Linked DNA regions of Sus scrofa. The protein of the gene in region 1 interacts with the protein of each later gene in a pairwise test. Links are inferred from orthologs where the notes say so. Each region holds a gene or a part of one and is shown in the gene's direction. Other genes may lie near its edges. The genes, in order: CDR2, ENKD1, C6H1orf216, SH2 domain-containing protein 4A-like, FAM161A, TRIM23 and PKN1.

Region 1 (3,634 bases):
AACATACAAAGCCTATGGGAGTTCCTGCTGTGGCGCAGAGGAAACGAATCTGACTAGGAACCATGAGGTTTCGGGTTCGATCCCTGGCCTTGCTCCGTGGGTTGAGGATCCAGCGTTGGCGTGAACTATGATGTAAGCCAGCAGCTACAGCTCTGATTTGACCCCTAGCCTGGGAACCTCCATGTGCTGCGGGTGTGGCCCTAAAAAGACGAAAGACAAAAATTAAAAACAAACATACAAATGATAGAGTTCTTGGGTATTAGTAATTCTGTGAAAACTGATTTTTTAAAAACTTGGGAGTATTTAGTTCAGTGCTTTTTTTTTTTTGTCTTTTTGGGGCCACTCCCGTGGCATATGGAGGTTCCCAGGCTAGGGGTCGAATCGGAGCTGTAGCCGCTGGCCTACACCAGAGCCACAGCAACGCGGGATCCCAGCTGCGTCTGCAACCTACACCACAGCTCACGGCAACGCCGGATCCTTAACCCACTGAGCGAGGCCAGGGACCGAACCCGCAACCTCATGGTCCCTAGTCGGATTCATTAACCACTGCGCCACAACAGGATCTCCTTAGTTCAGTGCTTTTAACTTGTTAAATTTTAATTTACAAGAAGGTGCAGTGCTTCTGATAGACTACAGATTTGGAGGTTGTATTTCACATGTCAGTGAAGAAAAAAATGGAAATTGCAGTAAAACAAAAATGCAGGCCCATAGAAGAGGTTCTTTTTTGGCCTGCAGAGTTGTGTTTACAACTTAAGAGTTATGAGATTGAGTCTTTATTTAATAGATATTTCTGGAGCCCCTGTCACAAGGCAGGTATGTGGAGTGGTGAGCAAGACAGACAGTTCAGTCCCGTGGAGAAGCAGAGAAGCAGATAATCACACACATAAAGTACAGTTCCAAGTTGTCTAGGACCCTGAACCAGAGAGAGGCCAGCTCGTGCATTCGGTGGTCCGCAGCCTTATTCATCAGATTACCCTGTGCAGTTTTTCTTTTTTTTTTTAATTTTTAAATTATAGTTGATTTACAGTGTTCTGTCAATTTCTACTATACAGCAGAGTGACTCAGTTATAATAGACATTCTTTTTCTCACATTATCCTCCATCATGTTCCATCACAAGGGACTAGATACAGTTCCTCTGTGCTTTACAGCAGGATCTCATGGCTTATCCACTCCAAATGCAATAGTTTGCTTCTACCAACCCCAAACTCTCAGTCCATCCCACTCCCTCCCTCTCCCCCTTGGCAACCACAAGTCTGTTCTCCATGTCCATGAGTTTGTTTCTTATCGGTAGATAGGTTCATTTGTGCCACATATTAGATTCCAGGTATGTGCTGTCATACAGTATTTGTCTTTTGCTTTCTGACTGACTTCACCTAGTATGAGAATCTCTAGTTCCATCCATGTTGCTGCAAATGGCATGGTTTTGTTCTTTTTTACAGCTGAGTAGTATTCCATTGTGTATATGTACCACACCTTCTTAATCCATTCATCTGTCGATGGACATTTAGGTTGTTTCCATGTCCTGGCTATTGTGAATAGTGCTGCAGTGAACCTGCGGGTGCATATGTCTTTTTGAGTGAAAGCTTTGTCTGGATATATGCCCAGGAGTGGGATTGCTGGGTCATATGCTAGTGTTACATTTAGTTTTCTGAGGAACCTCCATGCTGTTCTCCGTAGTGGTTGTACCAATTTACGTTCCCATTAACAGTGTAGGAGGGTTCCCTTTTCTTCACACCCTCTCCGGCATTTGTTATTTGTAGACTTATTGATTTGATGATAGCCACTCTGACTGATGTGAATGGCACCCACTGTAGTTTTGATTTGCATTTCTCTAATAATTAGTGATGTTTTAGTGAGCTTTTTTCACGTGCCTGTGGGCCATCTGTATATGTTCTTTGGAGAAATGTCTATTCAGGTCTTCTGCCCATTTTTCAATTGGGTTGTTTGGTTTTTTGCTGTTGTATGAGTTGTTTGTATATTTTGGAAGTGAAGCCCTTGTCAGTTGCATCATTTGCAACTATTTTCTCCCATTCTGTAGTTTGTCTTTTTTTTTTTTTTTTTTTTTTTTTTTTTTATGGTTTCCTTTGCTGTGCAAAAGCTTGTAAGTTTGATTAGGTCCCATGAGTTTTTCAAACTGCAAGATCATTTTGACTCCCTCTGGCCTAAATCAGAATCTCTAAGTGGGAATAAAAGGCTGCCCCAGGTGATTCTGACATCTGTTCCTGGTTAAAAATCACTGCAGCAGTGGTTCTCAAACTTAGCTGCATATTATGAATCACATGAAGAGCTTAAGAAAGACCCACGTCTTGGAGTTCCTGTCGTGGCTCAGTGGTTAACGAGTTCGACTAGGAACCATGAGGTTGCAGGTTCTATCCTTGGCCTTGCTCAGTGGGTTAAGGATCTGGCATTGCCATGAGCTGTGGTGTAGGTTGCAGACCCGGCTCGCTCGGATCCTGCGTTGCTGTGGCTGTGGTGTAGGCCGGTGGCTACAGCTCCAGTTACACCCCTAGCCTGGGAAGCTCCATATGCCTCGGGAGCAGCCCAAGAAATGGCAAAAAAAAAAAAAAAAGAGAGAGAGACCCACATCTAGGCAGACCAGCTAGGTCGGAATCTATGGGATGGGAGCCAGGCATCAGTAGTTTTCTCTTGACTGCCCAGGTGATTCTAGGCTGCGGCCAAGGCCGAGCACCACTGGGCCGTGCTAATTTCCTTGACCAGTATCAGTGATCCTGCTATTCTCTGGGAATGGATGTTCTGTAGTGTTTTTTTGTTGTTGTTTTTTGGGCTGCATCCGAGGCGCATGGAAGTTCCTAAGCTAGGGCTCATATTGGAGCTGCAGCTGTTGGCCTGTGCCACAGCAACAGCAACAAGTATCCAAGCTGCTTCTGCAGCCTATACCACAGCTCACGGCAACGCCAGATCCTTAACCCACTGAGCAGGCCAGGACTCAAACCTGCATCCTCACGGATACTAGCTGGATTCGTCACCTGCTGAGTTACAATGGGAACTCCTGTAGTATTTTTTGTTTGTTTGTTTGTCTTGTTTTTTGCCTTTTCTAGGGCCGCTCCTGCGGCATATGGAGATTCCCAGGCTAGGGCTCTAATCGGAGCTGCAGCCACCGGCCTATGCCAGAGCCACAGCAACGCAGGATCCTTAACCCACTGAGCAAGGCCAGGGATCGAACCTGCAACCTCATGGTTCCTAGTCAGGTTCGTTAACCACTGCGCCACGACGGGAATTCCTCCTGTAGTATTTTTAATGTTTAAAAAAATATCGGTCACAAAAGCTATATTTTCTCACGTGTTTATTTGCCAGCCTCACACATTCCTTGTAACCATTGCTCTAGCATGGAGTAGGCAAAAAAAAATCAGTTGCATCACAGCTCCTCAAAAATAGATAGTTGGAAAAAATCATCAGCCTCCCTCTTTGCATTCCTGCGTTAACAGAGTCTTTAAACATCTTCCCCAGGCACTTCGTGTACGATCACGTGTTTGCCGAGCAGATCACTTCCTTACAAAGTCGGCAAAGCCCCGATGAAGAAGAAAACGAGCATTTGAAGAAAACGGTGACAATGCTGCAGGCCCAGCTGAGCCTGGAGCGGCAGAAGCGAGTGACCATGGAGGAGGAGTTCGG
Region 2 (3,793 bases), on another chromosome or scaffold:
CTTAAAGTTTCTAAGAAAACAAGGTTAAAGAAGAGCATCATTGAATCAAGGTGGGAGACAATAAACAAGTGAGGAGATGCATATGATGTGCAAGATGATTAATGGTATACTTGACAATGAAAATGTAGAAAATGGTCAGGGATGGACGAAGATAATTACCATGTGAGGAAGGGAACAGGGAGATGAGGTGGAGTATGTATAGAGAATCTAACTTAAATGGAGACATCAGGAAGGTCTTTCTGTGGGAGGCAGTGTGTGGACCTGTGAGTCAACTGGTGTGAGTGGATTGCATTGGCTGTAGGTAGGGCAGAGCCTGGCACCATCTTTTCTCCAGGGAAGGACCCTAAAGACCACGAGCAGGAGAACCTGAGGCGGATCAGGGAGATCCAGAGGCGCTTCCGTGAGCAGGAGCGCACCCGGGAGCAGGGCCAGCCTAGGCCCCTGAAGGCTCTGTGGCGCTCACCCAAGTATGACAAAGTGGAGTCCCGTGTCAAGGCCCGGCTGCAGGTACCTACCCCAAGGAGCTAGAAGTATTGCCCATCTTATTGGCCAACAGGCAGTTATACTCTGACCTGAGTTCTGAGGAGGGAGGAAAATCCCAAGGGACTAAGGTGACAGGGGACTAGGAGACAGCTGGTTTTGCTGCAGGGCGGGGCTGGGTTTTTTTGTTTTGTTTTGTTTTTTTCAGAAGTCATGACTTCTGAAAAAGTTATGATTCTTCTGAGGAGCAAGTAGGAATTAGACAAGGGGAGAATGGAAGAGAACATTCTATAGAGATGGAGCCTCATGGATAGAAGTCCTAAGACCAGAGGGAGTGTGGCCAGTGGGGATGCTGTGTTCAGTGCACTGTGAGGGAAGAACATGAGGTTAGGCCAAGAAGTCAGCTGGACCCACATCATAAAGGGCCACATAGGAGTTCCCATTGTGGCTCATTGGGTTAAGAATCCGACATAGGAGTTCCCGTCATGGTGCAGTGGTTAACGAATCCGACTAGGAACCATGAGGTTGCGGGTTCTATCTCTGGCCTTGATCAGTGGGTTAAGGATGCGGCATTGCCGTGAGCTGTGGTGTAGGTCGTAGATGCAGCTCAGATCCCTTGTTGCTGTGCTGTGGTGTAGGCCGGTGGCTACAGCTCCGATTTGACCCCTAGCCTGGGAATCTCCATGTGCCGCGGGTGCGGCCCTAAAAAAGACCAAAAAAAAAAAAAAAAAAAGAATCCGACATAGTATCCGTATCCACGATGCAGGTTTGATCCCTGGCCTTGCTCAGGGGGTTAGGGATCCAGCATTGCCACAAGCTACTGTGTAGGTCACAGATGCAGCTTGGATCTGGCGTTGCCATGGCTGTGGTATAGGCCTGCAGCTGCAGCTCCAAATCGACGCCTAGCCTGGGAACCTCCATATGCCACAGGTGCAGCTGTAAAAAGAAAAAAAAGGCGGGGGAACCACATAATCCACTTATAACTGTTATTTTTAGGGACAGTGGGAAGGGTATGGGCAGGGGCATATATGGTAGTGGGATTGTGTCTTGGATAGATAATGCCACCATTTCTTTATCCAGGGGCCTGAGAAGGAGAAGCAGGATTGAGAGAAAAGACATTAAGGTCATATGTGGATGTGTTGAAGCTGAAGCATTTGTGGGACTCCCAGGGAGTGGGAATGTGTCCAGGAAGCAGATGGAGAATCAGGTCTGGATCTCAGGAGTGAGACCCAGGAGTTATTGAGGATCAGGCTGAGGACGATGAGACCAGGGAAGTGGCCTTAGATTTGAGGGCTTGGAGGTCGGGCATCGGAGACCTTAATGGGGACAGAGCCAGAAAGCTTGGCTAGGAAGGCAAGAGAATAGTACCTGAAGTCAGGACTAAGGTAAAAGGAAGATTATTTGTTTTCTTAAAGATGTGAAAAACACACATGTTTAAATGCTGATGGAGAGAAGTGCTCCTTCAAGAGGAGGGAGGCCAGACCTCTAGGGCTGGTGATAGTGAAAGATCCTAAGAGCCTGGAGGGACAGAGTCTTGGTCTTACGACTTGAGACCCTGACCTCAGCCTGACTGATCCCTCTGCTGTGACTTGGCCTCCAGGAGCCCGGCCCTGCTTCCGGGACAGAGCCTGCCCACTTCCTGCGGGCACACTCTCGCTGTGGCCCTGGGCTCCCACCACCCCGTGTCCCCAGTCCCCAGCTAACCCCGCCAGGTCCCAATGCTAAGGTGAGAGGATGTTTGGGGCCTGGGAGGTGGGGCAGGGAGCCTGGGGAGGTTCAAGGGCACAACACAGTGCTGTCTGCCTCATCACGCCTGCCATGTCCTCCAGGGGCCAGGCCCAGGTGTGGACTTCATTACCCACAATGCCCGCACTGCCAAGAGGGCCCCCCGGCGGCATTCTCGCTCGCTCCAAGTCCTGTCACAGGTGCTGGAGCAGCAACGGCAAGCCCAGGAGCACTATAATGCCACACAGAAGGGTCACGTGCCCCATTAGTAGGTTCTACTGCCCAATACCCAGGGTCAGGGGCACTTAGGGAGGGTGGGAGCCAACACCTGCCCTGGGATGATCCATTCTGATTCTGTGCATCGCAGTTTGTTGGAGCGCAGGGATCTGTGGCGACGGGAGGCTGAGGCCCGTCAGCACAGCCAGCCAGACCCGGCCATGCCCCCTGGCCACACTCGCATGCCTGAGAACCAGCGGCTGGAGACACTGAGCAACCTGCTCCAGAGTAAGTACATGGGCAAAGGGGGCTGGATGGGGAGCCCACTGGGGACAGTGCACCCCTGCCCAGCACTTACTGTTCCTGGGGCCCCTGTAGGCCAGAGCCAGCTGCTGCGTGAGCTGGTGCTGTTGCCTGCTGGGGCAGATTCCCTGAGGGCCCAGAGCCACCGTGCTGAACTGGACCGGAAGCTGGTGCAGGTAGAGGAGGCCATCAAGATCTTTTCCCGCCCCAAGGTCTTTGTGAAGATGGATGCCTGAGTCCTTTCCTGGTTGTAGGCGGGTTTCGGGGAGGATTGCTACATGATTGCAAAGGGCCGGATTGGGCCCAATAATAGAGTGGCCCTCAAGACAGGAGCAGTGGGGTGGGCAGTATCCCCAGAGCACTCTTCACAGCCACTGGTGGCTGTGGAAGGGCCATCTCAGCCTCTTAATCACTTTGTCAAAATTAAACCTTTTGTACACAGCGGGGTTTGTTTCCATAAGATCTTTTCTTACCCTAGAAATGCCAAGCCTGGTGGTCCTCCTGCTGCTTGACTATAGGAAGACCTCTCTACTGTTTTTTATCACTCCTCCACTCCTGCCTCATGTCCAGGGCAGAGGGCAAGGTTTGTGGGATCAGGGAGGAGGCTAGGGCTGGGACACACAAGGACCATGACTGCATTTGTAGAAAACCTTTAATGTTCCCCAGACTGATTCAGCCCCATGAGCAAGCTAAAAACACCCACTGGGGAAGTCTCTGCCATGTCCCAGCAGCCTGGAGGGGCAAGGGCCTGCATCCTTGCCTGTCAGAGGCTGAAGCCATTGCCATCTCCTCTCATGCTACTCCCCCAGCCAGAGCTGGCCTGCTCCTGATCGTCCAGGGAGGGCAGAGAGCTGCGGGCACCAGGAAGTAGGCGGCTTGGGCGCAGGTCCCAGCATGGAGGCCCCTGAGACAGCCCATTGGAACAAGGAGGCTGGCGGTTCTCAGTGACCAGATCACTGCTGTCATCGTCACTATCAGGCTCACCAGGCCCAGCAGAAGGAGGCCTCATCAGACGCCCAGATGTCCCACGAACCACATTATTGCGCTGATTGGCTGGCTTGACAGTGAC
Region 3 (4,173 bases), on another chromosome or scaffold:
CGTTTTATTTCCTTTTCTCTCTTAAAATAGTTGTCCTAATCATAAAATGATTTTTCTCTTCCACTTCCTTTATTTTGTTTACAGGATGTGTTGGTGTGATTTAATTTGCCATTTAATCTCTATTGCAGAGTGGGAAGTTAGAATTAAGCTGGGAATGGAAGAGGATGCCTCATCATAGAGATCAGACTCAAATTCTCTTAAAAAAAAAAGCAAAAGAAAGGAGGGGGAAAGACAATGGTATTTTCTAATGTATTACGACTCAAAAATGAATCCATATTAGTTTAGTTGAGGGTTTTTGTTGTTGTTGTTGTTTGTCTTTTGTAGGGCCGCACCCATGGCTTATGGAGGTTCCCAGGCTAGGGGTCCAACTGGAGCTGTAGCCGCCGGTCTACACCATAGCCACAACAACGCTGGATCCTAGCCGCGTCTGTGACCTACACCATGGCCTGCCAGAACCTTAACCCACAGAGTGAGGCCAGGGATCGAACCATAGTCCTCATGGACACTAGTCAGTTCGTTAACTGCTGAGCCACAACAGGAACTCCTAGTTGTGCTTGTTTTTAATTGGCAGGGGGAGGGGGGAGCATGGGGAAGTTATAGCCAATTGCTTGGTTTGTCCAGTAAAGGTGAGGGTGTAGAAGGGATCTTCTGGAAGATCCTATGACCTGAAGGCTAAATTTGTCCCATATTTTTTTCTGGGGCTGCCTCTCCTTAACAGCCAGTGCTTTTCGGTTTTATCAATAGAGTCAGCAATTACTCTGTTCATTAAATGACTTTAATCAGATAAGCACAAAAGAAACATATAACTTTAAATGGTGATAGCTGCTATTAAGAAAAGGAATAAAACACCCTGGAGGATAACATAAAAAGGGGGGACTAATCTGATCTGGGAGGTTAGAGGTTTTTCTGAGAAGAGATCCGAAATATGAGATGGGGGAGAGAATTTTCGGCAGAGAGAACAGTGTGGCAGAAGGGGCGTGAAGCCCAGCTGCAGAGGCGAGGGCACAGGCTGAAGCCGCAGAGGTGAAGCAGGATGCTCAGAGCCCCACGGCTGCTGCCCTAAGGATTTAGCCTGCAATGCGGAAGCCATTGAATGGTTTTAGGCAGGAAGGTGGAGACATGATCAGATTTTCATTCTGAAAATGTCACTGAATGTGCAGTGAGGCAAACCGATCGGAGGGATCCTGTGAACGCAGTTATGAAATAAAACAGAGTCTGCAAGGGCTGGGTCAAAGGTGCCGAAGGCTCAGGAGGCGGTTCCAGCGCTCCGGCCCTCGCGCGGCTCCGCGGAAAACCGAACCGACCCACGTGGGCCTGGCCGCCCCGCCCCGCCGCGCTGACGCCGCGCGACTCCGCAGTCCCGGCCTGGGTGGGAGCGCGACACGAAAACCCGCACCCACGCCCCTGCCCGCGTGGACGCCCAGGCCAAGGGACAACCCCCCCCCGCCCCCGCCACAACCCCGACGGAAGAGTTCCCGCCGCGGGCCTTCGGAACAGAGCTAGCTGGGCGGGCCGGCGCCTCCAGGCCGTGAGTGGGGGCCCGGAGCGGGAGGGTTTGGACCCCTGCCGCAGGGGGCGGGGGTCGCAGCCTCGGCCCAGCTGCCTCTTTGGGGGAGATTAAGGAAGGGCCGTCAGTATCCTCGGTCTCCCGGGGTAGTCTCCTTCCCCCACCCCCTCAAGGCTAGGCAGGAAGGGGGGCTGCCTCCTCCCACCCTTACAGAGCGCCCCACCTCGGCAAATTGCTAATTAGCTTGGAGAGAAACCTGATCCTGGGCTGTCTCCATTCCCATTTTACCGTCTCTGAGAACCCCGTGATTCTTAGTACCACCTCCACTCATCCCAGCTTCCCTCACGGCCCCCGCCCAAGCTTAGAAAAAAAGAAAACATTGGGCCAGGAAGATCTCCAAGCCCCTTGCTTAACAGGATGGAGTGTGTAGGTTACAAAGGGACTGTCCCTAAACCGTTGCTCCTAGGACCTCTTCCCACTACTGAATGTGGGAAGGGTCCCTGCTCCCTCCACTTACACTATCCCTCACTCTTACTGAACCCCCACTTTTTCGAATCCTAGTAATATATGGTCAATAGAAAGCTCTCGTCAAGTAAACACTAATTTTGGGAGAGGTCGGTTGTTGGGGAGGAAGAATAATGGGGCATGCCCTCTTTCCAGGGCCTCAGGATGGAGCAAGCTAGAGGCAGGGGCACCGGGATTGTGCTAGACATGGAGGCTTCAAAGGGCCGGGTCAGGGGAGAGAGGCTTGTCAGTGGGGGAGGGGGTTCCTCTCTGAGCAGAGGGGCGAACCTAGGCTTCAGCTGTAGCCTCTGCTACTGTTGTTGGGGTCTTCCTGAGCATAGATATCCCACTGCAGTCCCCCTCCCCCATTCACACACTCACTCGGCAAGGATCTACTGTACCTGGTTAGTGCCAGGCTCCATACTGGCTCCTGAATATGATGGAAGATATATAGAGGAATTCTATCTCTAGTCACAGAGCCAGAAGTGGAAGCTGCTATTGTAAGACAGATAAAAAAGCAAAACCCCAAAAACTTGAATAGACATTTACTGACCATCAAGAAACAAACATGGGAGTTCCCGTCATGGCTCAGTGGTTAACGAATCCGACTAGGATCCCTGGCCTTGCTCAGTGGGTTAAGGATCCGTGAGCTGTGGTGTAGGTTGCAGACACGGCTCGGATCCCGCGTTGCTGTGGCTCTGGCGTAGGCCTGCAGCTACAGCTCCAATTCGACCCCTAGCATGGGAACCTCCATGTGCCGCAGGAGCAGCCCAAGAAAATGGCAAAAAGACCCAGGGCAGTGGGGATTCAGAAGAAGGCACAGTTAGCTGTGTTAGTGTCTTTTGGGCAGAGGGGAGAATATCCAGATGGCTTAGAGAGGTGGGGCTATTAGAGCTGAGTTTTGAGGTACAAAAAGGAATTGTCTGGGTGGCAAAGGGAGGAGTTTGGAGGGAAGGGGAGAGGAAGGGTAGTGTAGGCCAAGGGAACTGTGTAATGAGAATAATGGTGTGTCCTGAGATCTCTGAGCAGTTTGGGGTGGTGGGAGGGGCAGAGTGGCAAGAAGCAATTCTGGAGCCGTGAGCAGGGGCCAGATGAAGCACGGCCTTGTAGGCCATAAAGGGGTTTAGCCAGAGTTTGTTGGGGGGAGCCATGACAAATTTACTTTTTTTTTTTTTTTTTTGCTTTTTAGGGCCACACCCTGCCATATGGAGGTTTCCAGGTTAGGGGTCAAATCTGAGCTACAGCTGCCAGCCTATGCCACAGCCACAGCCACACAGGATCCGAGCCGCATCTGTGACCTACACCACAGCTCATGGCAACGCTGGATCCTTAACCCACTGAGTGAGGCCAAGGATCGAACCTGCAACCTCATGGTTACTAGTTAGATTTGTTTCCACTGTGCCACACGGGAACTCCCAAAGTTAAATTTTTAACTAGAGGCAGAGAGATCAGCGAAAAGGCCACAGCAGTCAGTAATCCAGAAACAGCCCTAACCAAGTGAAAGCGAGGGGAGATGTATGTACAGACGCACGTTCTCTTTCTCTTTCCCTCTCTGTGTCTCTCTGAGGTTTTTAAGAGAAAGAATTGTCTGAATTTGATGGCTAGTGAGGAGGGAATGAAGCAAGTGAGGAGTCCAGGCTGCTCTTGATTCTTAGCTACAGTGACGGACTGGAGAGTGGGGCCGTCTTGCTGCGGACATGGAACGGGGAGAGCTGGTCTGGACATGGGGAACTTGAGGAACCCAGGCTTGGTTGCAGAATTTGGTAGCTGTCGGGTCTGGGCTGGAGACAGATCTGAGTGCCCCAACACATGGTTGTTCTTGAAGCTACAGCAGAGCATGAGGTCATTTGGGAAGAAGTGCATTAAGAGAAGACAAGCTGCCTCCCAGGGCTAAGGGAAAACCCTGTGAGGAGATGGAAAATCGGCAGACAGAGAGGGGGGAAGAAGACTGCAAAGGAAGGTGTTACCAGAGTGGAGGGAAAGGGGCTGAGAAGGAGAAGCCTTGTCCTGTGGCCAGGTTGTCTCAACCTCAGCAACCCACACCATCCTGCTTTGACTACATTCTTCTGCTTCCCTTTACAGACCAGATGTTTGCCGTCCAGCCAGGGGTTGCTGAGGGGGCTCAGTTCCTGGGGGGCCCGCCTCCTGCAGTATGTCCACCC
Region 4 (4,248 bases), on another chromosome or scaffold:
CCAAGGACCAGCAGGAAGCAGAGGCTCAGCCCCTGTCTCCTGCCAAGGGCCCGTGGCCCAGACCTACTCTCTGTAGGAGTGTTGCTGCCATGTGAAGGCGACAGTCCTCCACAACGCATTGCAGATGCCAGAGTCGGAAATGTTTCCACTGAGAGCATGGCCCAAAGGGCAGAAAATAATTCAGGGCCTCGTAATTACATAACAGAGCCCCTTGATGTTTTTTGGAGCAATTTTACCATGTGGAGCATTTGAACTGTAACACATCCTGCATACCTATTGTGTGTCTGGGTGTTGGGTAGGATTCAAACCTTCCTGGGGTAGATTAGTCCTTACTTGATGTTTATGATTTCAAAGAGGTATAAAACATAGAGCTGCTGTAGCAGGCAGTGCTGCAGGGAGGATGGCAATGCAGGCCCTGGCCATCTGTTCCCTGCAGGCCCCCAGTGTCACCACTGGCCTGGCTCCTGGCAAGTGTTCATTAAATGGTTCTCAGATGTGTTAAATGCTCACTTTACAGTTCTTCCACTGCCCATGCAAGAAGTGTTAGGCTTCCTTCAGAGCTGGCCACAGCAGCGAGCCAGGGCCAAATGACACTCCAGCCAGAAAGACCCTAAGGGGCCATTCATTTAATAAGCAGTGGAACCAAACTGAACCAGGAATTCTCCCCAGATAGGATCTCCAGAATAGCCTTTAAATAGCTAGGCAGGAGGACTGACCTCTACCCCAAGGCTCTAACTTCTGTAGTACGGGAAGCCTAGAAATGGGAAGGTTTCATTCTGAAGGAGCAAGTCAGGCAGGCTGCGTGGAAGAGGACCACATCGCAGTCTATAACCTCTCTCCCTGACACCTGCACCATGGGGTCACCAAAGCAGGCTGTTTGCCGCACACATTCTGAACGTTTCCTCTAGAAGGAACATGCCCCCCCAATGTTTCCACGCTGCTTCTACTGAACTTTCCTCCCAGATTTCCTTTTCCCTCCTCGGCCAGCTCCTCCTCCTTCAGCAACCACCCCAACCTGACTTGGCCGCTGCTCTCAGCATTCCTTTTCTTCTGCCCTTCTCTTTGGATTTCTTTCATTTTCTCTCCCCGTCCCCGCTGTCTCCAGTCTCCATCTTTCCAGCTGTTCTCCTCTTTGGTCCTGTCCTCCTACAAAGCCACACCCCTCCGGACAAGTGCCCAAGAGTTTGGTAATTTTCTCAAAGTCAACAACAACAACAACAACAACAACAAAAAGTGAGCTCCAGAGGCGCCAGAACAGAAGTTCAGCCCGCGGAGCGAAGAAAGGCCCGCCCGCCGCCGGCTCAGGCCCCACCTGCCAGGAAGCCTGGTGCCTGGCCGGGATCTCACCACCGTCCGCAGGACGCGCGCGGCGGGACCAGCCCCGGTGCCGCAGGTTCGAACGGACGGGCGGGCTGGGGACGCGCTTGGCTCATGTCGCGGCCGCGTGTCTGTGCAGCCGACTGCTCCTTCTCCTCCCTCGGCACCCGATCAGGCGGCCCAGCCCCGCGCAGGCAGGTGCGGGCCGGGAGGGGCCAGATGCGGCCAGTGAGTGCGGGCGAGCGGGCGGGCGGCGGGGGTGGATGTCCCCGTGGGTTCTGGTCCCGCTGGCGCGCGGCGCGTTCCTCCGCCGGGGGGTCAGGTGCTGGCGGGGCGGGCGGGCGAGTGTCCGGTGTCGGTGTCCGGTGTCGCTGCACCGGCGGGAGAGCAGAGGCGCTGAGGGCCGGCCGGCGGTCGTGGTGAGGGGTACGCGGGCGGCGGGGCGCGCGGGAAGCTCCTGCTGCAGGCGGCCGCGTCCCCCGAGGGGCGCGAGCGGGGCTGCCAGGGAGGAAGCGTGCAGAAGGCCGGCAGTGGCCCGTGGGGGTCGCGGGCGGAGGGAAAGGCCGGGTCTGAGGGCGCTTTCTGCCTTTGAGGGTGCGGGGTGGGGCCCAGGGTGGGCGCGCAGGGCCCAGGGTGGGCGCGCCGCCCCCCGGAAGGCGGACCAGACTGTGGCCGCAGGTGGCCTGGCCGTGACCTTTCCCTGCTCTCTCCCGCCCTCTGGTTCACGCGGGCTCCCCAGAGGTGGCATGAGGGGCAGCGAAGAGGGCAAAACTGTGCAGGTTTGCTCAGAATTGTCTTACCCTCCCAAGAGTCACTGGAAGAGCAAGTGAACTCCCCTCCTCTCTTTCTAAACTTGGAGTCTGCTCACCTCCTAAAAGGCTTTGTTTGATTGCCTGTTTAATAGAAATGACTTGGGATACAATCATTATTTTAAGTGAATAAGTGAGTGAAGGCCTATCCCAGGTACAGATTTGGCATGTGAGAGGAATTTCTGGAGAAATTCACGTACAGCGATTTTTAAATACCTGAAGAATGGTATGTATTTATCAAATTTACCAAACTGCTGTCACCCATGGTAATTTGTTTTATCCTCAAAAATAGCCCTTTTGCAGATAGATTAACAAGGTAAAGTTGAGTAAGAGCATGGAAAGTCTGGAAACAGGGCTTTTTAAAAAGAATTAGAATTCAAACTATGTTTTTAACATTAAAGTACACTGTCCATATTACAATATTTTTATGATTTAGGCGTATCTCTGGTAAAGTAAGATCTCAGAGTCATTCAAAATACAATTCTTGGAGTTCCTGTTGTGGCTCAGTGGTTAAGAACCTGACATAGTGTCCACAGGAGACGGGTTGGATCCCTGGCCTTGCTCAGTGGTTAAGTGAGGATCCTGCATTGCTGCTGCAGCAGCATGGATTGCAGATGCAGCTCTGATTAGACCCCTAGCCTGGCAACTTCCAAATGCCGCCGGTGCAGCTATAAAAAATACCAAAAAATATAATTACTGTTTATAAAACAGTGGCTCTGGGAAATATGGGTGCCATGACCCTTTGAATTTTTGGAAAAAAAATAGCAGATGTGGACTCTTTGCTTGTTGTCATTTCTGTGTTTTAAGAATAGTGCTGCTCAGGAGGAAAAGAGTTAGCTGAGTTTTCCTTTCTACTGGATCTTAAATAACTGGGTAGCACTCAATGAATTGGATACGGAAGTTACCTGTGTTTGATCGTATCAAGCACTGATTGTCAGGGAAACCAGGGGAAACCCCTGGTTGGTTAATTTCCTTGTTTCTGTTTCCGCTGACCCAGCCCCACTTGCGTCTGGAACTCCGCACTATAATGTAGTGTATTCCTAAGATGACAAAGATTCAAGTTCAGGCTCATTTCGTGGCAAGGAGACTGAGTCCGAGGAAGGGAAGTGACAACGCAAACATCCACAGCTCAGGAGAGGCAGAGCTGTGAGCCGAGAGCTTCCTGTGCTGTGTTTGAGGAAGGAGTTCCGTTCACGCTGGTGGGTGTTCACAGCCTCCGAGTGGCATGCATATTATTCAGCCTCACCCCACAGAAAGGTTGTAAACTATGTTCCCAAGTTTCCCCTGAGGACAGGGGGAGGCCAGTGTCTTTCCTTCAAGATCCACTTTAACGTCAAAAATCTATTTGTTGCAAAAGGCAAAACGGCACAAAATCGCAGCTGTGAGGTCTTGACTGTGTCCCTTCCTGCCATCCTTCTGCCCCCTGCCCCCAGTGCTGCTCTTGGGGGTGGTAGGAGGGGGACTGAGGAGGCTCAATACTCAGTGACTGACTGGGCATCAGTATCTGCGCCTGCGCCAACATGACGTCACTTCCCGCCATCTTTCCGGGGTGAGGGCTTTTCAATGCCCAGCGTCCCCAAAGCCCACCTGCAGTTACAGAGATGAGGCTTCTGCCTCCCAAGAAGGACCCTGCCTCATGTACCTTCGGTTCACCGTTTCCGCTGCCTCTAGAATTTGCTGGTTTTCATTCTGAAACTTCACCCGTGGGGCCTCATCCTGATGATGTTCTGATTCTGGGCTCACGGAGAAAACCTCCTGCAGTGACGTGGAGCCAAACCGCCCAGTGCCGCCCCTTTCCATCTTCTGTGAAATGGGCAGAGGGAGGGACTGAACACCAAGGTTATGGTGAAGGTTCATAAGTTACTGCATGTGCAGGGCTCAAGGTGGTGGCTGCCCAGCAGGAGTCAGCGCTTGTCACCAGTGCTGGAGGGAGGGGGCGCTGTGAAGGTGGCACGTGCCAAGTTGTAGTTTTTAGGCTCTCCCCACACCGTCGGTGTTGCTGTCACCCAATTCAAAATGGGGAACAGAGTAGAAGTTTCCAGCTTCCCTGAGCAGCTCCTTCTCCACGTGTTTTATTCCTATGAAAGTCAGGCCTGGTAGAGGCGTGTGCCAGCATGAGGAC
Region 5 (3,634 bases), about 56 Mb from region 1:
ACTAAATTTAAAGGAAGTTCAGCCAGTGGTCACCAGGGAAGAAGCTGCTAGTGTCTCTTCTAAGTAAGTTTGTACATAATGTTATTTGTGGAATGTAAAATAAAATGTGTACCTAAAAGTGCAGAACAAAATTATTTCAGAATATTTTCTCACAAATATTCCCCACATCCCCACTCCCCCTTTCTTGGCTTCTCAGCAGCATATGTAGTTCCTGGGCCAGGGGACAGATCCAGGCTGCAGTTTTGACCTAAGCTGCATCTGCAGCATGGCTTGATCCTTAACCCACTGTGCCAGGATGGGTATCGAACATGTGTCCCAGCACTCCCAAAACACCACCAATGCCATTGTGTCACAATGGGAACTCCGCAAATATCCCTTTTAAAAAAAATTTTTTTAAATTCTTTTTTGGCAACACCGTGACATGTGGAAGTTCCCAGGCCAGGGATTAAACCTGTGCCACAGCAGCAACCCAAGCCACAGCTGTGATAATGCTGGATCCTTAAGCCACAGAAGCACAAGGGAACTCCATCCCTTTGTGTTTTTAGTGATATACAGAAGTAGAATTTTATTCAGGTTGTTTGCTGGCCTATCGACCTACTAGGTGGCTTCTTGCTTTGAGGGTCATTTAGTGGCCATTTGGTCCTTCCTCTCTGACCCACCACTTTTAAGACTTTATCAGAAATATTTAGTCTGGGCCATTTTCAAATGATGAGTATTAAAATTTAATTTTAAAAGCTCTTTATAGTTAACATGAGCTTATTAAAGATAGAGTATGAATTGTTCAGGACTAAGGAATAAATCTGGGAGTTCCCACCATGGCCTAGTGGTTAATGAATCTGACTAGGAACCATAGGTTGTGGGTTCAAATCCATGGCCTCAATTAGTGGGTTAAGGATCTGGCATTGCCATGAGCTGTGGTGTAGGTTGTAGATGCTGCTCGGATCCCGAGTTGCTCTGGCTGTGGTGTAGGCCAACAGCTGTAGCTCCAATTAGACCTCTAGCCCAAGAACCTCCATATGCTGCAGGTGCAGCCCTAGAAAAGACAGAGAGAGAAAAAAGAAATCTTGATTTAAGTTTTCAAAAAATAGTAATTTTTGCCGTAAACTTGCTTCTTTTGAAACTCGAGGCAAGTCCCTTAACTCATCCACTTGGTTGGTGCTAATTTGCATCTCCCATGTGCCAGACTGTGCCTGGGCACTGAGGAGTCAAAATTAAAGTGCCCTCAAGGAAGTCCAAGACTAGCTGAAATCCAGAAATACAACACAGTGTAGCAGAGTGTTAGAGACAGAGGAAGAAGCTGTTGATTATGTCAAGATGTCAGTGGAGGGATGCAGGTACTTGAAGTGTCCTGTGTTCAATCTTAAAGGGGAAATGGCTGAAGCAGATGTAGGAAGCAAGGAATGGCATTCTAGGCAACAGAGCCATGTGTGCAAAAGCACTGGTGCCACAGAAAACTGTGTGAGGAACTTCCCATGATTAGATCTGACTTAAGAGTGGCGACAGGGGAGGGAGAGGCAAGATGTGAAACTAGAAAGGTAGACAAGGGCTAGTCCTCAAGGGCTTTATAATCTAGACTTTGTAACAACAAATTGTAGAAAAGTTTCTGGAAGGGGCATAAGGTGGTCAGATGTGTGTTTTATGATAGTGACTCTGGAAGATGTGTGGAGAATTCAGTAGCGGTTGGATACAAGGCACCTCTGCCGTCTCAGCTTCCTCCCCTGTAAATGACAAAGTCCAATTAGATTGTTTATAAGGGAGTTCCCGTCGTGGCACAGTGGTTAATGAATCCGACTAGGAACCATGAGGTTGCGGGTTCGGTCCCTGCCCTTGCTCAGTGGGTTAACGATCCGGCGTTGCCGTGAGCTGTGGTGTAGGTTGCAGACGAGGCTCGGATCCCGCGTTGCTATGGCTCTGGCGTAGGCCAGTGGCTACAGCTCCGATTCGACCCCTAGCCTGGGAACCTCCATATGCCACGAGAGCGGCCCAAAGAAATAGCAAAAAAAGCCAAAAAAAAAAGATTGTTTATAAGCATCTCGCAGTCTTTCTTCTAAAAAAAAAGCGATAATTTTCACAAGCCCTAACCAGCTCCTATTTTCTAACTTTTTTTTTTTTTTGGCCGCACCCTTGGCATGTGTAAGTCCCCAGGTCAGGGGTCAAACCCACGCCACAGCAGTGACCCAGGCCACTGCAGTGACAGCAGCTGATCCTTATCTTGCTGCACCACAAGAGAACTCCATCTAACTGATTTTATCTTGATCTTAGAAATTATGTAAATCTATTCTTTTTTTTTTTTAGAGCTGAACCTGCGGTATATGGAAATTTTCAGGGTAGTGGTCAAATTGGAGCTACAGCTGCGAACTACACCACAGCTCCTGGCAACACTGGATCCTTAACCCACGGAGCTAGACCAGGGGTTGAACCTGTGTCCTCATGGATGATAGATTAGTTTCTGCTGAGCTTCAGTGGAAACTCCCAGAAATTATGTAATTCTTTTTTTTTTTTTTTGTCTTTTTGCCTTTTCTAGGGCTGCTCCCACGGCACATGGAGGTTCCCAGGCTAGGGGTCTAATTGGAGCTGAGGCCGCCAGCCTACTCCACAGCCACAGCAACTCGGGATCCAAGCCTCGTTTTCAAACTACACCATAGCTCACAGCAACGCCAGATCCATAACCCACTGAGCAAGGCCAGGGATTGAACCTGCCATCTCATGGTTCCTAGTCGGATTCGCTAACCACTGAGCCATGACGGGAACTCTGGAACTATGTAATTCTTTTTTTTTTTTTTGGTCTTTTTGTCTTTTTGTTGTTGTTGTTGTTGTTGTTGTTGTTGTTGTTGCTATTTCTTGGGCCGCTCCCGCGGCATATGGAGGTTCCCAGGCTAGGGGTCGAATCGGAGCTGTAGCCACCGGCCTACGCCAGAGCCACAGCAACGCGGGATCCGAGCCGAGTCTGCAACCTACACCACAGGTCACGGCAACGCCGGATCGTTAACCCACTGAGCAAGAGCAGGGACCGAACCCGCAACCTCATGGTTCCTAGTCGGATTCGTTAACCACTGCGCCACGACGGGAACTCCGGAACTATGTAATTCTTAATTTTTATATTTAGTCACATGCAACTGAAAGAGTAACCTAATTACTCCTTTCACTTACTTAGGTCTGTATCAGAAAAGAGCTATTGTCCTGTCTCGTTAATGACATCGGTTTCAGAGCCTGATTTAGGTGAGTCTTCCTCCTTGGTTGTATATTCCTCTGAAGATGAGTCACCCAACTTAGAAAAGGAGTATTCTGAGAAAAGCAGAATGATGACCTATGCCAAGGAGCTCATCAACAACATGTGGACCAACTTCTCTGTTGAAGATTATATTCAGTTTGAAGATGCTGACTTGCCAGCACTTGAAAAAATAAAAAAGAAACCAAAAGAATGGGTTCCAAAGATCACAATACCTGAGCCTTTTCAAATGATGATTAGAGAGCAGAAGAAAAAGGAAGAGAACATGAAATCTAAGTCAGATGTTGAAATGGTACATAAACTGCTTAAAAAACAAGAAGAAGAATTAGAGTGTAAGAAAAAATTCCGAGCCAATCCAGTTCCTGCATTCGTTTTTCTTCCCCTTTATCATGATGTAGTCAAGCA
Region 6 (3,634 bases), on another chromosome or scaffold:
AAATTGTCATCCTGGCACATTTCAGATTATTTTTATTCGAATTAATGATTTTTTTTTTTTTAGAATTAGGTAATTGCGGAGAAATTTTTTAAGAACCCAAGTTCAGTAGAGTTATTTGTTGTTGCATATTCAGATATAATGTATCATGTAATAATTTTCAAAAGCAAAAGAAATTGAATTTACAACATTATCTTGGTCCCTGACACTTATCCTTTAAAGGAAATTTCGCTGTGATATAATTTTGGTACATCTGTCAGAAGAAATGATAAAAGGTGATTTAAGACTTTACAGCTAGACAGTTTTATTTTCATGAAAGAATAAAGTAATTTAACAAGATTAGGGATTTTTTTAGCCTAAAATATTTATGCTTTTAAAGTCATTTAAAGAGCTCATTTCCTTTCCAAATACTAGGTGCTGGAATGTGGAGTTTGTGAAGATGTCTTTTCTTTGCAAGGAGACAAAGTGCCTCGCCTTCTGCTTTGTGGCCATACAGTCTGTCATGACTGTCTCACTCGGCTGCCTCTTCATGGAAGAGCAATCCGTTGCCCTTTTGATCGACAAGTAACAGACCTTGGTAGGAAATACATATAAAATTGTTCATGTAACACAAATGTCATAGAAAACAATTTCTTTATAATTGACTTTTAAAGTTGTAAAATTCCAGGGTGATTGCAGTTTCTTTTTTCTTTTTTCCTTTTTATGGCCATACCTGTGGCGTATGGAAGTTCCCAGGCTAGGGGTTGAATTGGAGCTGCAGCTGCTAGCCTATGCTGCAGGTGCTGGCCTATGCCACAGCTGCAGCAATGCCAGATCTGAGCTGCCACATCCGAGCCTGCCACATCTTCTACTTGCACCACTGCTTGTGGTAACTCTGGATACTTAACCAACTGAGTGAGGCCAGGGATTGAATTCACATCCTCATGGATATTGTGTTGGATTCTTAAGCTGCTGAGCTGTAACAGAAGCTCTGATTTCAGTTTCTTTTAAAGCCAATAATCTTGACACTATAAACCAGTGCACACTTATGTACTAGTTTTATTTCATCTTCTGAGATTTTTATATTTAGCACTTAAAGTTGAATAGTTTTAAGATACCTGAGAAGAACCTGCTAGCCTTATTTATTTACCTGTAAAACAGTATTTACTTTAGAAATGAGTAAACCAATAGTGGAAATACAGATAAGTCATTTGAGTCTCAGCATGTTGCTATTTACCAATATCACACAGAAGTGGGGCCAGCAAGGCTGAGGGGGAAATGCTACATAGGCTGCATAAAGTACTTGGTTGGGAAAGGAGGTCACAGAAATCAGAAAGATGAATACAGATAATTAGCCTAGTTTGAAAAAAAAAAACTTTTGTGCACTGCAGCAAGAAATGGTTTCTTTCTTCCTTTCTTTTTCCATCCATCCCCTTTTATTTCTCTTCCCTTTTTTTCCCTCTCTTCCTCCCTTAGAAAAGAGGAACAAAGAAGAAGGGAGTCTGCAGCCAATGACCGCATCATCCTTTTACTTATTTTTTAAGTGAATATATGCTAAGGGCAGCTTTTTGTCAGATGGTATATGTTGTATAGAAGCTCATCATAACAGACGGATGTTCCTTCTAATTGCTGAAGCATCTGGCTTTTATTTGTAGGCTCAGGAAGAGTTTGTGTATGTGTTTATGCATGTGCACGTGCATATGCCCGTATTGTGTAGACACACGTACATGCACATATGCATGCTCGCCTGGCCTTTTATGGTCAGTTCTGAGGAAAATAAATATCAATCCTTATTCAAATGTGCCTAGAGTCTTAACTACTTAAAAGGGACTGTTGTCATGCTTTGATATGAAGCTCTGTGTGTTTTCATGAGAAGGAGTTTATATATTCATTGACTGCTATTAGGGCTCTAGGTTAGATGAGGAGTGTGGAAAATACTATCTTTAACTGTTCTAGTTCTGGTATACTTCAAGATGGATTTATTTTAGGTTAAGTGTATCTTTCATACTGTAATTTTTTAGACATGAATCAGAGCTTATTTGTGGTCATAAAATCAGTTTAATTGGATATGAACAGGATTTTTTTTTTAGAAAAGAAATAGGATAGGAGTTCCTGTTGTGGCTCAGTGGAAGCGATTCTGAGTAACAACCATGAGGATGTAGGTTTGATCCCTGGCCTTGCTCAGTGGGCTGAGGATCTGGTGTTGCTGTGAGCTGTGGTGTAGTTCGCAAATGTGGCTCAGATCTGGTGTTGCTATATTGCTCCAATTGGACCCCTAGCCTGGGAACCTTCATATGCCATGGGTGTGGCCCTAAAAAGACAAACAAACAAACAAAAAAGACAAAAAAAAAAAAAGAAATACAACAAAAACCCATCAGAGCATCAAAGTGTATTGCATCCTGCACACTGTGAGGGTGAATGTTAATGTGTAAATCTTTTGTATCAGACATCTGTGTACACACACACACACACACACACACACACACACACACACACACATATAACTGTGTCTTATCCTAGGTTGTGGTGTAAAATGTATTTCTTACCATTGGTTGTTATAAAAAATATTTAAAGTACATGATTTAGTATATGTATTAAAAGTCAGTGGCAAATAGGATTCATAGGAGTTCCTCTTCTTGCTCAGTGGTTTACATGAAGATGTGAGTTTGATCCTGGGGCTCGCTCAGTGGGCTAAGGATCTGGCATTGTCTTGACCTGTGTTGGGTCTCCTGTTGCTCTGGCTGTGGTGCAGGCTGGCAGCTGCGGCTCCAATTTGACCCCTAGTCTGAGAACTCCCATGTGTTGCAGGTGCAGCCCTAAAAAAAAAGAAAAAAAGAACAAAAAAGGATTTATAAAGTTAAATTATAGAATAATAATTAGGAGTTCCCTGGTAGCTCAGCAGATTTATTTAGTTTTTATTTTTTGTTTTATTGGTGTACCCGTGGCACATAGAAATTCCTGGGCCAGGGTCTGAACCTGCACACTAAGAAACCTGGTTTGTTACAGTGACAATGCTGGATACTTAACCTGCTGAGCCACAAAGGATGGGAATTTTTTTTTTCTTTTGTCCTTTTAGGGCCCCACCCGCAGCATATGGAGGTTCCCAGGCTAGGGATCTAATTGGAGCTGTTGCTGCTGGCCTATGCCAGAGCCACAGCAACACCAGATCTGAGCCGTGTCTTCGACCTACAAGACAGCTCATGGCAATGCCGGATCCTTAACCCACTAAGCAAGGCCAGGGATCGAACCCGCAACCTCACGGTTCCTAGTCAGATTTGTTTCTACTGTGCCACAACAGGAACTCCGTGTTTGGTATTATAAAGAGAATATTAAAGACAGCTGTTCTAGCGTGAACAGAAAATGGAGAAATTTTTAATTTTTATTTATTTATTTTGGACTTTTTGCCTTTTCTGGGGCTGCTCCCATGGCACATGGAGGTTCCCAGGCTAGGGGTCTAAATCAGAGCTGTTGCTGGAGCTATTGCTGCCGGCCTATGCCAGAGCCACAGCAACATGGGATCCGAGCCATGTCTGCAACCTACACAACAGCTCACGGCAACGCCAGATCCTTAACTCACTGAGCAAGGCCAGGGATCGAACCTGCAATCTCATAGTTCCTAGTCGGATTCGTTAACCACTGAGCCACGATGGGAACTCAG
Region 7 (4,194 bases), on another chromosome or scaffold:
TCGCACCCCTAGTTGTGATAACCAACCAAAAATGTCTCTGAATGTTGCCAGATGTCCCCAAAAGTTGGGTGGTGGTGGTAAAATCCCTTCCTCCATTGAGAACTGAAGCTGTCACCTCTTGAGCCCCAGTTTCCTCACCTATAAAGTGGGGGAGAATTATGACAGCTGCTCAGGATAATGTGAGGGGTCGGTAGAATCCTGGGAGGGATATTTTTTGGCTAGAAGTAAATTCTCCCCGGGGTCAGCTGCCTTGGAAGTTGGTCAGGATCCAACCATGACTTTCCTCATCTCTGAAATGGGTTCTCACAGTGGCAGCAGATAATGTACATGGAGCTCTTTGCACTATGCTTGACACCTAGCCAGTGCTCAGATTCTAGGCATTCCTGTTGGAAATCCCAGTTCTGCCTCCTGCTGGCTGAGGGGCCTTGGGCAAGTTATGTCACCATTCCAGGCCTCAGTTTCCTCATCTTGAAAATGGGGCGATAGGAATTCCCACTGTGGTGCAACAGGATTGGCAGTATCTCTGCAGCTCCAGGATATAGGTTTGATCCCCAGCCTGGCACAGGATCCAGCGTTGCCACAGTTACAGCATAAGGCTCAGATCTGATCCCTGGCCTAGGAACTCCACATGCTGTGAGGTGCCCCCTCCAAAAAAAGGAAAAAAGAAGATGGGATGATAATAGCACCTGCTTCCTGGAGTTGCATTAGTCGACCTGGGTGCAATTGTAGTAACTGTCACCATTCTTAATAGTCATACTTGAGTTTTAGTGAGCCCCTGGTTTGGGGACACCCTCACCTCAATCCTCCAGTGCTGTCCCCTCACAATGTGGGCCTTGAGGAGGTGCCGCTGGGCTGGCTGGGCCTCCTAAGCCTCCAAGGTGTGGTCAGCAGCAGCGGGCGACCGAGCTGAGAAGCCGGAAGTTGGGACAGGCTGTGTCTGCAGGAAGGGGGCTGGGCTGCTCACATAAGCACTCTTGAGTGTTTGCGTATAATGTACACAGGGGCAGGCGTGGGGGTGTGCACACACTCGTCAGCCTGTGATCTGTGCACACCCCTATGGGTACACGAGGGTGCGAGCCCACCCAGGTCAGCCCCTGGAGCCTGTACACATGGGGGAGGCTGCTCTTTGTGTCCACACTAGTGGGCTTGTGAGTGTGTGTATTCTGTGTACACCTTGGGTCTCCTCTCGGTTCAGGGAGTTGGGGCCATTCCTGGGATGCCTCCAGAGAAGCAGGCTCAGCCCTGGAGTGGGGGCTGGGAGGAAGGCCCTCTAGATGCCCCAGAGCCCCAGAGCCGGCCTGTCGCGGGGGTTGCTGGGAGCTAGCAGGAAAGAGGAAGTGGCAGGCGAGAGGCCCTGGCAAGGCTGAGGTTCAGGAAGAGGGCGGGGCCCTCAGCCGGGACCCAGGATGGCGGAGGCTGGTCCCCCTTTGGACCGGGAGCTGGAGGTGGGGGCTGGGGTCCTTATGGGGTGGTTGGCAGAAGAGGACCCCAAGCAGCACGGGCCAGAGGCCCTGCCCTTGGCTCTGGGTTTTGGACTGAGGGGAGGAGATGGGGCGCTGGCCTTGGAGTTTTCTGTTTGAAAGATAAAAGTATCGGGGGGCCCTTTGGGTCTTCCAGGTTGGAGAGACAGAGGAGAAAGAGGACAGGGCTCTGCTCTTTAGGGTCCTGGTTGTAGAGAATGAAAGGAGGGGAGACAGGGCCTGTCTCTTAGTTTGGGGGTACAAGAGAAGGGAAGACGAGGCCTGTCCCTCAGCATCTAGTTTGACGGCACAGCAGTGAGGAGTGGAGGCCTGCTCTTGAGACCCCAACTTTATGGTTTTGGGGGGCACCAGAGGCCTGCCCTTGATACTTCCTTGTTTGGGGAGCAACAGAGGGAAGATGAAACCCGCTTTCAGGACCTCTTACTTTGGGGGATAGGGGAGTAGAGATGGGGCCTATCTCCAGTTTGGGGGGCAGCAAAAGGGGAAAAGGATCTGCCCTCAGGACTGTGTCACTTGGGGGGACAGCATAAGGGAGATGAGGTCTGTCCCTGGAACCCTCTAATTTGAGAGGACAAGGGAAGGGCAATAGTACCTGTCCTCAGGGAACCCCCAACATGGGGGACACAGTGGTGGAGTGATGGGGCTTGTCTTCCAGAGTTTCACTGCATAGGAACAGATGAAGGGAGACAGAACTATACCCATAGGCGAGGGGACAGGGAAGGAAGAAGGCCCTGCCCTGGGGACACCACAGTTTGGTGATGTCAGTAAGCAGGGACAGCGTCTTGTCTCACTTCCCAGTTTTGGTGGCGGTGAGGGGTGGTCAGAGAACATGGAGCTGGCCCTGTGTCAGGAGTCCCACCCTGAGAGGAGGCCAAGCCAGGTTGGCTGAGTATGGTCTGCACCCCAGAGTCCTCCTGGTCCCCACTGACCCCACTCTGTCTTCCGTCCCCCCTGCAGAGTGAGCCCCGCAGCTGGTCCCTGCTGGAGCAGCTGGGCCTGGCGGGTGCCGACCTGGCGGCCCCCGGGGTGCAGCAGCAGCTGGAGCTGGAGCGGGAACGGCTGCGGCGGGAGATCCGCAAGGAGCTGAAGCTGAAGGAGGGAGCTGAGAATCTGCGTCGGGCTACTACCGACCTGGGCCGCAGCCTGGGTCCTGTGGAGCTTGTGCTGCGTGGCTCCTCACGCAGGCTTGACCTGCTGCACCAGCAGCTGCAGGAGCTGCATGCCCATGTGGTGCTGCCTGACCCCGCAGCCACTGCCCATGGTGAGCCAGGCTTTCCCAGGGATGCGGGACTGTGGGGGTTCCAGGGCTCACCCATCACTACTGACCCCCAGGGAAACACACTCATGACAGCTCTATCTCAGAATACAACCAGAAAAGAAGCCAAAACCAACACCCAGAGAAAGGTACACACAGGTACACCCACACCTTGGCAACACCCAAAGGATTTACACCCACATGAGTATCTAGACTCACATGGTCACACACCACTTGGACAACCCCCAAAGACTTGTTCACATAACAGGAATTCCTCTGGGGCTCAGTGGGTTAAGGATCCGATGTAGTCACTGCAGTGGCTCTGGTTACTGTAGTAGCATGGGTTCGATCCCTGACCTGGAACTTCCACATACTGCGAGTGCAGCCCCCAAAACCCCCAAATAACAGAAAATGCATCATTTTGAAGGTTATAGTTCAATGATGTTGAGAAGACGCACATTATTGTGCAAAGGATCTGCACAACGTTTGCATCTCGTGACCAAAGACCCTTAAACTCATCACATCAGGAGCCAGTGACCCTCTCACACAGTCATGCCAGCACCTGTCTTAATGTATGAATATCCAGAGACTCTCATAGACTCACCACAACACCCAGAAACTTCCATACCACCACCCAGCACCTAGAGAAATACATAGTCACACGAACAACACCCAGAGACTTAGACATGTTCACACCAACCCCCAGAGAGTCACACTTACACAGATCTGCCCAGTCCTTAAGATGTTCTCCAATCCATCAACAGCCCAAAACTTACATACGCAATCAGACAAGACTCAACACCACTTACCTCAACACACCTACACTGCCTAGATGACAGCTGAAAACCAACACTGTCACATCAACACTCTGAGATAGAGTTCAGCCAGCACCCAAAACTTCATCCAGTCACAGCTGTACCCAGAGTCCCCCGCATAGTCACAATACTGTCTAGAGCCTGACACAGATCTCTGTCAGCATCCAGAGACACGCATGTCTGACTGTACCAACACCCGGACACTTGGACACAGTGGTCCCAGTGCCAGGAAATCTGAACATGCCGTTGTGCCGACAGTCGGAATCATATGCATAAAGTCACCCCAGCACCCAGAGCCTCACACAGTCACTCCAACACCTCACATCTCACAGTTACACTAGCACCTGGGGTGACACATATGCTCAGTTATGCCAACACCCTTCGGGTCACAGACATAAGCATAGCCACACCCATGGACAGCCACACAGCCATGTACATAGTTGGGGGCTTCTGTACAAAGGTATGTATAGTCACACCAACACCAGGCACTCATGCACCCCTGGACACTTGCCCATGCTCATTCATGCTGGTCCTATCCCAGCGCTGAGAGGGTTTCCTGTGACCGATGGTGTGGTTGGGTCCCCTGGCCCCCAGTTCTTTCTCCTCCCGGCCCTCCCGGGTGGGTTCTCTCAGCTGGGGCAAA

What was found.
Region 2: the proteins of CDR2 (region 1) and ENKD1 interact in binary tests that used the Homo sapiens proteins (3 or more experiments, as listed by UniProt). The two-hybrid records come from large-scale screens. The link is inferred for Sus scrofa from reciprocal best matches to the Homo sapiens genes CDR2 and ENKD1.
Region 3: the proteins of CDR2 (region 1) and C6H1orf216 interact in binary tests that used the Homo sapiens proteins (3 or more experiments, as listed by UniProt). The two-hybrid records come from large-scale screens. The link is inferred for Sus scrofa from reciprocal best matches to the Homo sapiens genes CDR2 and C1orf216.
Region 4: the proteins of CDR2 (region 1) and SH2 domain-containing protein 4A-like interact in binary tests that used the Homo sapiens proteins (3 or more experiments, as listed by UniProt). The two-hybrid records come from large-scale screens. The link is inferred for Sus scrofa from reciprocal best matches to the Homo sapiens genes CDR2 and SH2D4A.
Region 5: the proteins of CDR2 (region 1) and FAM161A interact in binary tests that used the Homo sapiens proteins (3 or more experiments, as listed by UniProt). The two-hybrid records come from large-scale screens. The link is inferred for Sus scrofa from reciprocal best matches to the Homo sapiens genes CDR2 and FAM161A.
Region 6: the proteins of CDR2 (region 1) and TRIM23 interact in binary tests that used the Homo sapiens proteins (3 or more experiments, as listed by UniProt). The two-hybrid records come from large-scale screens. The link is inferred for Sus scrofa from reciprocal best matches to the Homo sapiens genes CDR2 and TRIM23.
Region 7: the proteins of CDR2 (region 1) and PKN1 interact in binary tests that used the Homo sapiens proteins (3 or more experiments, as listed by UniProt). The link is inferred for Sus scrofa from reciprocal best matches to the Homo sapiens genes CDR2 and PKN1.

The regions. Positions count from the first base shown.
Region 1 is NC_010445.4:23,827,706-23,831,339, forward strand, and holds part of CDR2 (cerebellar degeneration-related protein 2), read left to right. Parts: intron 1-3,469; coding exon 3,470-3,634.
Region 2 is NC_010448.4:28,282,482-28,286,274, reverse strand, and holds the end of ENKD1 (enkurin domain-containing protein 1), read left to right. Parts: intron 1-334; coding exon 335-507; intron 508-2,080; coding exon 2,081-2,206; intron 2,207-2,309; coding exon 2,310-2,473; intron 2,474-2,572; coding exon 2,573-2,709; intron 2,710-2,799; coding exon 2,800-2,960; 3' UTR 2,961-3,167; downstream 3,168-3,793. Other genes in the region: PARD6A (partitioning defective 6 homolog alpha), read right to left, coding at 3,488-3,793. UniProt on the Homo sapiens protein: Microtubule-binding protein which regulates microtubule organization and stability. Promotes the stability of astral microtubules and facilitates the proper orientation of the mitotic spindle.
Region 3 is NC_010448.4:91,887,645-91,891,817, reverse strand, and holds the start of C6H1orf216 (UPF0500 protein C1orf216 homolog), read left to right. Parts: upstream 1-1,314; 5' UTR 1,315-1,528; intron 1,529-4,093; 5' UTR 4,094-4,098; coding exon 4,099-4,173.
Region 4 is NW_018084867.1:67,294-71,541, reverse strand, and holds the start of SH2 domain-containing protein 4A-like, read left to right. Parts: upstream 1-1,392; 5' UTR 1,393-1,515; intron 1,516-1,688; exon of another isoform or gene 1,689-1,743; intron 1,744-4,248. UniProt on the Homo sapiens protein: Inhibits estrogen-induced cell proliferation by competing with PLCG for binding to ESR1, blocking the effect of estrogen on PLCG and repressing estrogen-induced proliferation. May play a role in T-cell development and function.
Region 5 is NC_010445.4:79,962,584-79,966,217, forward strand, and holds part of FAM161A (protein FAM161A), read left to right. Parts: coding exon 1-63; intron 64-1,636; exon of another isoform or gene 1,637-1,718; intron 1,719-3,154; coding exon 3,155-3,634. UniProt on the Homo sapiens protein: Involved in ciliogenesis.
Region 6 is NC_010458.4:44,136,240-44,139,873, reverse strand, and holds part of TRIM23 (E3 ubiquitin-protein ligase TRIM23), read left to right. Parts: intron 1-411; coding exon 412-574; intron 575-3,634.
Region 7 is NC_010444.4:64,818,322-64,822,515, reverse strand, and holds the start of PKN1 (serine/threonine-protein kinase N1), read left to right. Parts: upstream 1-1,332; 5' UTR 1,333-1,406; coding exon 1,407-1,445; intron 1,446-2,438; coding exon 2,439-2,742; intron 2,743-4,194. UniProt on the Homo sapiens protein: PKC-related serine/threonine-protein kinase involved in various processes such as regulation of the intermediate filaments of the actin cytoskeleton, cell migration, tumor cell invasion and transcription regulation.